Linked DNA regions of Ovis aries. The protein of the gene in region 2 interacts with the protein of the main gene of each other region in a pairwise test. Links are inferred from orthologs where the notes say so. Each region holds a gene or a part of one and is shown on either strand. Other genes may lie near its edges.

Evidence for each region.
Region 1: the proteins of CTNNAL1 (region 2) and RNF135 interact in binary tests that used the Homo sapiens proteins (3 or more experiments, as listed by UniProt). The two-hybrid records come from large-scale screens. The link is inferred for Ovis aries from reciprocal best matches to the Homo sapiens genes CTNNAL1 and RNF135.

Annotation. Positions count from the first base shown.
Region 1 is NC_056064.1:17,747,196-17,751,009, reverse strand, and holds part of RNF135 (E3 ubiquitin-protein ligase RNF135), read left to right. Parts: intron 1-1,759; coding exon 1,760-1,903; intron 1,904-3,814.
Region 2 is NC_056055.1:14,277,501-14,282,044, forward strand, and holds the start of CTNNAL1 (alpha-catulin), read left to right. Parts: upstream 1-1,606; 5' UTR 1,607-1,678; coding exon 1,679-1,819; intron 1,820-4,544. UniProt on the Homo sapiens protein: May modulate the Rho pathway signaling by providing a scaffold for the Lbc Rho guanine nucleotide exchange factor (ARHGEF1).

The DNA.
Region 1 (3,814 bases), on a different chromosome or scaffold from region 2:
TGCGTTTTGACAAATGCACGAAGTCAGGTATCTGCAGTTATAGTTGTACTGCCTTCAAAACCCCCTGAGCCCCACCTTTGTGTATCCCCTCACCCCCTGCCAACCCCTGGCAATGACTGATTTTTTTTGCTATCTCTTTGGCTTTTCCAGAATGTCATACCATTGGCATCATACAGTGTCTAGCTTTCTCAGACTAGTTTCTTTCACTAAACATAATTAAGATTTGTGGCTTGACTGCTCATTTCTTTTTATTGCCAAATAATATTCCATTGCATACATGTCCCACAGTTTGTCTATTCACCTTTTAATGGACATATTGGTTGCTTCCTCCCCTCCCCCCCTTATAATTAAAGCTGTTTTCTTCTTTTTGGTTATAAACACAGCATTGGAAGTTCCCTGGTGGTCTAGTGGTTAGGATTCAGCGCTTTCACTGCTGTGGCCCAGGTTTTATCCCTGGTCAGGGGACTGAGACCCTACAAGCTGAGCAGTGTGGCCACAGATGAATAAATTCAGCATTATCCCTCAGGTCCTTAAAACTATTTGTTAGTATAGTGACTGAATATACTTTGCATTGGCTTTCAGATTACAATTGTCTGTGGATGGTAGGATATTGGATGATTTAAAATGTTTCTTCTTTCAACTCTGTGCATTTTCTACATTCATCATGATAAATGTGCAGTTTTATGGATAGAAAAAGCACCAACACTTATTTATAAAAGTTTTTAATTTGCTCAGGTGTCTAGATAAGGGCTCCACTCCAGAATTCCAGCTGCCAGAATGTTTAGGAGTGAGACCTGGATATACAAGAGCAAACAATGTTACCAGTGGTCAGCCACCTTCCTCTGAAAATTAGTCTGCATATGGCTTCTGAAACACATGCTATTTTGAGGGACATAAGTGCTTCTTAGAGATGAAAAATTAGTTCCAGTTTTTGAGGTTCCAGCATAATTTAAAAAGTGAGAGCTGTCCCCCCAAAGTTATTAAAAACTGTGGTTTATTTAGAGTAGAATAATGAAAATCTTGTATTTCTGTGGTTCTATGTAGGACCACTTTGGGAGGTAGTTCAGATTTCTCCAATGACTTCTGGGCCCCGCCTGCCTCTGATGATGGTCACCAGGTCTTGAGGTTGTTGCCAGAATATGTTGGTGGCCAAACTTCCTCCCACTCTCAGCCAGGCAGCTGCGCAGATGAAGCTCTGGAAGCGGAGTTGTTTAGCATTCTCATCTGAATGTTTCTTTAAATGTGAAGGACGCCGATAAACAAAAAGAGCTTGCATCTGTACAGCAATCTAGAATCTCCACGATCCTTTCATAGTAGATGCTTTTCACTGTTAAAAGGAACTAGGGGTGGTCGCTTTAATTTTTGAAAGGAGTGGTGAAGACGCAGGATGAGTCAGAGGTGAGAGTGGAGCTAAAGCCTGAGCTAAATGCCTTCCACTCAACGTACCAGCTGCCACCTGCACCAAATCTCCAGGCTCCCACCCTGCTTCCCCTCTGACTTCCCCAGTTCAAAATAACCCCAGTCTTTCCTTCATGCCTCACTCCCACCCCCCTGGCCCCATCTGATGGATGAACGCTGCTTCCCTGTGAACAACCAGCAGGGGGAGGTGGGAATGCGGAAAGTCCGAGGACTTTACCTCCTTTTCCTCTAGACATTTTTGTCACTTCCTTGCCCACTTCCTTTATCCAGTGTTTACGGCTCCCTCTGTCTAGAGCTGGTTCCCGGGTCCAGCTTTGTGTTCTGCTTTGCTCTTTTAAAGGTGGAGGCACCGAGGAGCGTCACAGAAGTTGACCGGGAGCTGGCAAAGCTGGTGGAACGGCTTATAGATATTGTCAGGAACCTTCAGAGTCCGAGACACCTCCCAGAATCTGAACCAGATAAAGAAGTGAGCATTCTGGCTATGGTAGGCTCATCTGGGAGAAGAAAGGATGTGCCAGGGGGTGGGGCTAGGGACAACTCCCTGGAACCGCTGGGAAGCAAGATGAATATGTTTGCCCTTGAAGGATGCGCTAAATCCCAATCTTTCACCTTGCTCTTCACTACCCAACACAGATAATTGGGAGTTTGGAATGTTTGAGGTGAGGTGTGAAGGCATCCATCCTTACCACTCCACATAACCAGCTTACTCCCCGAAGATCACCAGTGACCTCTATACAAATCCTCCAGACCTTCCAGCTTTTATTCTCATTGGCCTTTCAGCCACCTATGACATAGTTGACCACAGCATCATTCTTTTTTTTTTTTTAATTTTTAAAAAATTCTGTATGATTTTTAAAAGTTACACTTCGTTTACAGTTGTTACAAAATATCGGCTATGTTCCCAGTGTTGCACAACACATCCTCGTAGCCTGTCTCACACCCAGTAGTTTTTACCGCTCACTCCCCTGCCCCCGTGTTGCCTCTCTTCCCCTCTCTCCCCACTGATTTGTTTGGTTTTTAATATTTATATATATTTAATATATATATTTACAAAACACTGTGTAATAGCTGAATATATTTAAAAGAAAATCTGTTTTTGAAACCTGTTCTGCTATGACCGGAGATAAAACATCTTTTTCTTCCCCCTTTTTTCTTTTTAAAAAAAATTTTATTTTTGGAGTACAGTTGCTTCACAGAGTTGTATTTGTTTCTGCTGTGCAACACAGTGAATCAGCTACGCGAATATATATACTCCCCCCTCTCTCTTGAGCCTCCCTCCCATCCTCCTCCCATCCCACCCCTCTAGGTCATTAGAGAGCACCCAGCTGAGCTCCCGGTGATATACAGCAACCTCCCACTAGCTATTGCTAACCACAGATTTGTTTTCTGTATATCAGTGAGTCTGCTGCTTCTCACAACTTCATTCTTGAAGCTTTCTTTCCCCTTAGCTCTGAGATGCGAGTCTTCCAGTTTTCCCCCATGTCTCTCTGGCTGCTCTTTTCCGTCTGTTTGGCAGGTTCACTCTCCTCTGCTAAGCAGTGAAATGCTGGGATTCCTCAAGGCTGAGTTGTAGGTCACTGTCTCTTTCCCTCAGATGGCCCTGTCCACACCTGTGGCTTTCATTACCCACCCTGGGTACAAACGTAGCTTCAGTCTGGACCCTCCTCTGATCTGGTGTCTTCCTTCTCGTCTTTTCCTCTTGGCATCTCAGAGGCACATCACACTTAATCCATCCTGAGCTGTCTCTCCTCTAGGTACCCCGTCTGAGCAGCTGACCCTGTAACCATTCCAAATGCCCAAGTCAGAAAGCTGAGGATCATGTTGCCCTCCTCCATCACCTGCCTAAACATCTCTTGAACCTATTTACTATTCTGGAGCTTCTTAAAAACATCTCTAATCCAATCCTATGACCATCTCTGATCTGGATTTCTACCAAAGCCTCCTAATCACTCCATTCTGTTCCCTCTATAGAGTCACACTGCTTCTCATCACGGGGCCCATACCATGAAATGTTCTTCTTTTCCCCTGTCATGTAGGTCATGCCTGCTCATCCTTCAGACCTCGACTAGATTATCACTTCCTTGAAGAAGCCTTCACTGATTTCCTTGAACAAGTCAAGTTCCCTTACTAGAGGCTCTCATGTGTGTGATTCCATGTCCCTTTCTTTTGCAGCAGTTGTCAGACTTGTGACTTGATAGTGATTGACACCATAATTTATTGTCTTTCATTCCTGTTCCTAAGCACTGGACTCTAAGCTCTAGGGGGGCAGAGACCTTGATGACTTTTGTTCTTTTGTTCATTTTTGTTTTCCCAGGCCTGGCACAGTGCTGGGGACATAGTAAGTGCTCAGTAAATACCCAGAGTATTTGAATGAGTGAATAAATGGGTCCTCAGG
Region 2 (4,544 bases):
AGAGCCTCTCAAAGGACTTGGGGTCCTTTGGGAAACATGGCTCTCGAATAAAAGTTTACAGCTCTTTTGGAAGACATCCGTAATAGAATTCTGAATGGCAGGCACATCTGCCATGTAAACTGTAATATATCACAAAGTTTAGTGAAATACCAGAAAAAAACCGTATTTGCCATTCAGAGCTATACATCAAGTATAGAGATTCTTTTCCGCCTATGGTGTATAAAGTCAGTATTTGTGTTTTACTTTTGAAAGTTTTTCAAAGATCAGTTAGAGTGCAGATGCAGTGGTGATATATTGATATGACATTTTAATAATGCTTTTGTATTGCACTTTATAGGTTTCAGACTGCTTTCGTAACAACCCTGTGAGATAGGCAGGCATCAAGTATTATCAGATCAAAGCTCAGAAAGGTTTTTTGTGATCTTTCCCTTAAATTTATACCACAAAATGATGGAGCCAGAGTTCAGTTGCAGAAATTCTGACTCCAAATCCAGAGTTCTGTACTCCACACCTGGTTTCTTTCTTTTTATTCTAGCTTTATATATTACTCTGAAAGCTGTGGTAACAAATTTTAAAACATTGTTTTGGCTTATTATCAAATACTGTTTTTAATGGCAGTGACCCAGACAATGTAACTCCAATTGTAATTATTCCAAAGAAAACCCGTCTTTTGTGCTTTGCAGTGCCACTTGTCTAGGTGATTGGAGTGTATTTCAAATACCATTTGATTTTGAAGCCAAGATTCGCTATATAGTTGTTATTGCTCATGTAACTTGTGGCAAATGTATCATCTCTGCATTCTCAGGCAAAGTAGAGATGGTTTGAAAGTAAAAAAGATTATTCAGATATAACCATGTGTCTTTATCCTCACAAATGCTGTTTCTTAGCTTTAACTTGCTTTGACAACCTACTGATGTAACATCTTTGTAAATGTAAGAATATTTATATTTTAAAATAAAATTACTAGTGTTGAATGAATCAAGTGGTAAACTTAGTCTCTGTTGAGAAATTCTATCTTCAGTGAAGTCAAACTTTAATGAATACATCTGTCCATCTCTTATGTCTTGTATCTTGCCTTGCCTTTGACACCAGTGCGCACAATGAATTTTTATGGAACATGGGCAGTTTACACCAGGGGAGATGTGTCTGTGAAAGCTCCAGAAAGACTGTAACCTGTAGAAGGCCTATCTTAGGGTAGAAGCCCGTCCCTACAGGCTTGACTCCTGTCCTAGTCTACCCATTATTAATAGTTTCAATCACAGCGCAGTTTCCAGGAATCTTGGGGAATTCGGATTTAGGAAGAGTCACTTCTCCGGAGGAGGGCAGGTAGCTTCCCTGAGCATGGATGTCCTTGGTCTGGTAAGAGGCCACATGTTCATGGGAAGGCCCTTTTTGGCAGGAGCGAGACTTGTGCGAAAGCCACTGAAGAATGATAAAAGAAACAAGATGGGCGGGAATGGGGGCAGGAGGGGCGGGGCCCGGGCTGGGGGGCGGGGCTGCAAGGCGGACCCCAGGCCGGAGCGCGTGGAGGCGGGGGGGCGGGGTCTTCCGGGGGCGGGGTCTCGGGCGGCGCGGGTGCCTTGCAGCTGCCGCGGGCGGGCGGGCCGGCTGGCTGGCGGGAGGCGGCGGGCCCGCAGCGGCGCGGCGTCCCGGCTGCGCGACGGGCTGAATAAAGGCCATGGCCGCCTCTCTGGGCCCCGCAGGCGGTGGCGGCGCCGGGGCAGCGCACGGCTCCGGCCCGTCGGGCTTCGCCTTCGACTCCGGACTCGAGATCAAAACTCGCTCGGTGGAGCAGACGCTGCTGCCGCTGGTTTCTCAGGTAAAGCGGCGCGCGCGGCCCCTGGTCTCACCCCCCTCGCCGCGGCCCGCGATGGCGGCGGTAGCTCCCGGCGGGGGCCTGGCCGGGCCGGGCCGGACGCAGCCGCTGCCCCACATTCCGTGCCGGGACTGCGGCGTCGGCGTCTGGTCGCCTTTCTGGGGCTTGAGGACTGGCCTTCGTTGAGGCGGAGGGAGTCTGGACCATCCGAAATCCGGCTGCGGGGCAGGGAGACCTGTGCGGACCAGAGTCCGGCTGCAGGTGCGCCGCCAGGCTTACGCACCCGAATCGCCCGGGGCTGCGACTCCGGCGGCCCCCGGCCCTGCTCCCGGGGAGCGGAGGGGACCTCCGCGGGGGCTCCGCTGGCCCTCAGGGGCCCTCCTCGCTGCCGTCACACCTTTGCATCTCCAGTCCCAACACGGACTGTAGCCGGTCTGGCTGGCGCGTGCCTCCGAGTCCAGCGTGCTCTCTCCCCTAGGCCTTTGTCCCTTCCCCGGATCGTGTGTAAGTCTGCTCCCCAGTCGCCCATTTACCCCGGGCCACCCTTCCCCTTAACCTGCCTGCTCACTTTAATTGGCTTTTGCTCGGCCTCGAAATGGTGAAGTGGAGGACCGCCTGATAGTTAATCCGGGTACACATCTTTTTGCCAAATCCCATTTGGGATGTATGGTTTATTGAATTTACCGGTCACAACAGAAGTCTGGAATCAGCTAATTGACGCGCTTAGCTTTAGAGAAGTTTTTGTTACTGAGAGCCGACTTATACGAACCCTCGGGGCTAGAATTCCTCTAGGTCTGATATGTGCCAAGCACTGTGGGCAGTGAAGAATTCTGTGCCTTAAGGAGCTCGCTGGATGTGTGACTCAACTCCTTTGTAACGTCTTGATGATTCACATTCGTATTGCCAAGATTTTCAAGGTAGAAGGAATCTTAAATGTTATCTGACTCTGAATTTTAAAAAATTCTCTCTTACAGCATCCTTGACATCTGGTCACCAGGGCCCTGCTTAAACATGCTCAGTGGTGTGGGCCTGTAGCTCGTCCATAGAATTTTCAATACTATTAATATCTCTAATCCATCCCAGCCTGCAAATATTTGATAACAGTAGCCACACATATCCCATATTTCTGTTATGCTGAGTAAATAGCCCATTTTCTTCACCCGTGCTTATTTTAGCCTGGCTAACAGAACAGTGAATAACCTTGATGCTCTGTATGGGCCTTCCCTTCCTTGTCGGAAAGAAGCACTGACAGGTGGGATGAGTTGAGGATCAGTTGGTGATGTCTGCATTTCCCTCTCCTACAAAAGAATACCATTACCACCACCAACACAACCACAACAGAAAATGAGAAATACTGGAGTAGTTTTAAGAGAGAGTTAAGAGAGTGGTATTTTATCCATTTAAAAATACAGTAATAAAGATAGAATGCTTACTGTGGGTGAGACCATGTTCTATGCACTTGATACATATTAGCCCATTTAATTCTCATAAATCTTACAGGGGTAGAGATATGTTTATTTTCATTATATGAATGAGGAAACTGAGGATAAGGGACTTGTGGGACTTTCACCTATAAATGTCCAACTAGGGTTTGCACCCTGACAGCCTCGTCCCAGAGTCTTAGCTACACCGCACTGTATTTGTCTCTAGAGATTAGAAGACGTGATGAGGTCAGCTAGTAGTAGGTCCAGATAAGAGAGTCACAATAGAAAACCAAGGTTGTTGTAATCTGCAGAAATGGTAACATTTCACAGTATCACTGCTAAAAATGTATCCTACAAGTTCTGCATTGTGTAATTCAGGGGTGAGAGAGGGTGGGCAGAGTAGGAGAGTGGAGAAGGAAACATGCATTGGCTGCTGAGAGTTAACTAGAGGTCAGTGCTAACGGGGGAAAATGTGGGCGTTTTTTTGTTTTTCCTTCCCTGTTAAAGGCTAATTCAGGGCCATAGCTGAGGTTCTGCATCCCACATATTATGTGTCCACAACTATATCTTTAGCATTATTATAACTGATGTTCCTAATGATTAACTGTGAAGGTGAAATCGCTCAGTCCTGTCCGACTCTTTGCGACCCCATGGACTATACAGTCCATGGAATTCTCCAGGCCATAATACTGGAGTGGGTTGCCTTTCCCTTCTCCAGGGGATCTTCTTGACCCAGGAATTGAACTGGGGTCTCCTGTTTTGCAGGCAGTACTCAACAATAAAAAAAGTTAAATCATGCTTAAAATAAAGAAATATCTATAGCATGGGCAAAACACTCACAAAGCAGAAGTGTGGAATGTGATTTAGAATGATTTTTATGTTTTAGTGAGTATTAGTGGATTCGGGAGTTAACTAGAGGTCAGTGCTAACTGGGGAAATGTGGGTATTTTTTTTGTTTTTCCTTCCCTGTTAAAGGCTAATTCAGGGCCATAGCTGAGGTTCTGCATCCCACATATTATGCGTCCACAGCTATATCTTTAGCATTATAACTGATATTCCTAATGATTAACTGGTTCCAAATAGGAAAAGGAGTACATCAAGGCTGTATATTGTCACCCTGCTTATTTAACTTATATGCAGAGTACATCATGAGAAATGCTGGGCTGGAAGAAGCACAGGCTGGAATCAAGATTGTCGGGAGAAATATCAGTAACCTCAGATATGCAGATGACACCACCCTTATGGCAGAAAGTGAGAGGAACTAAAAAGCCTCTTGATGAAAGTAAAAGAGGAGAGTGAAAAAG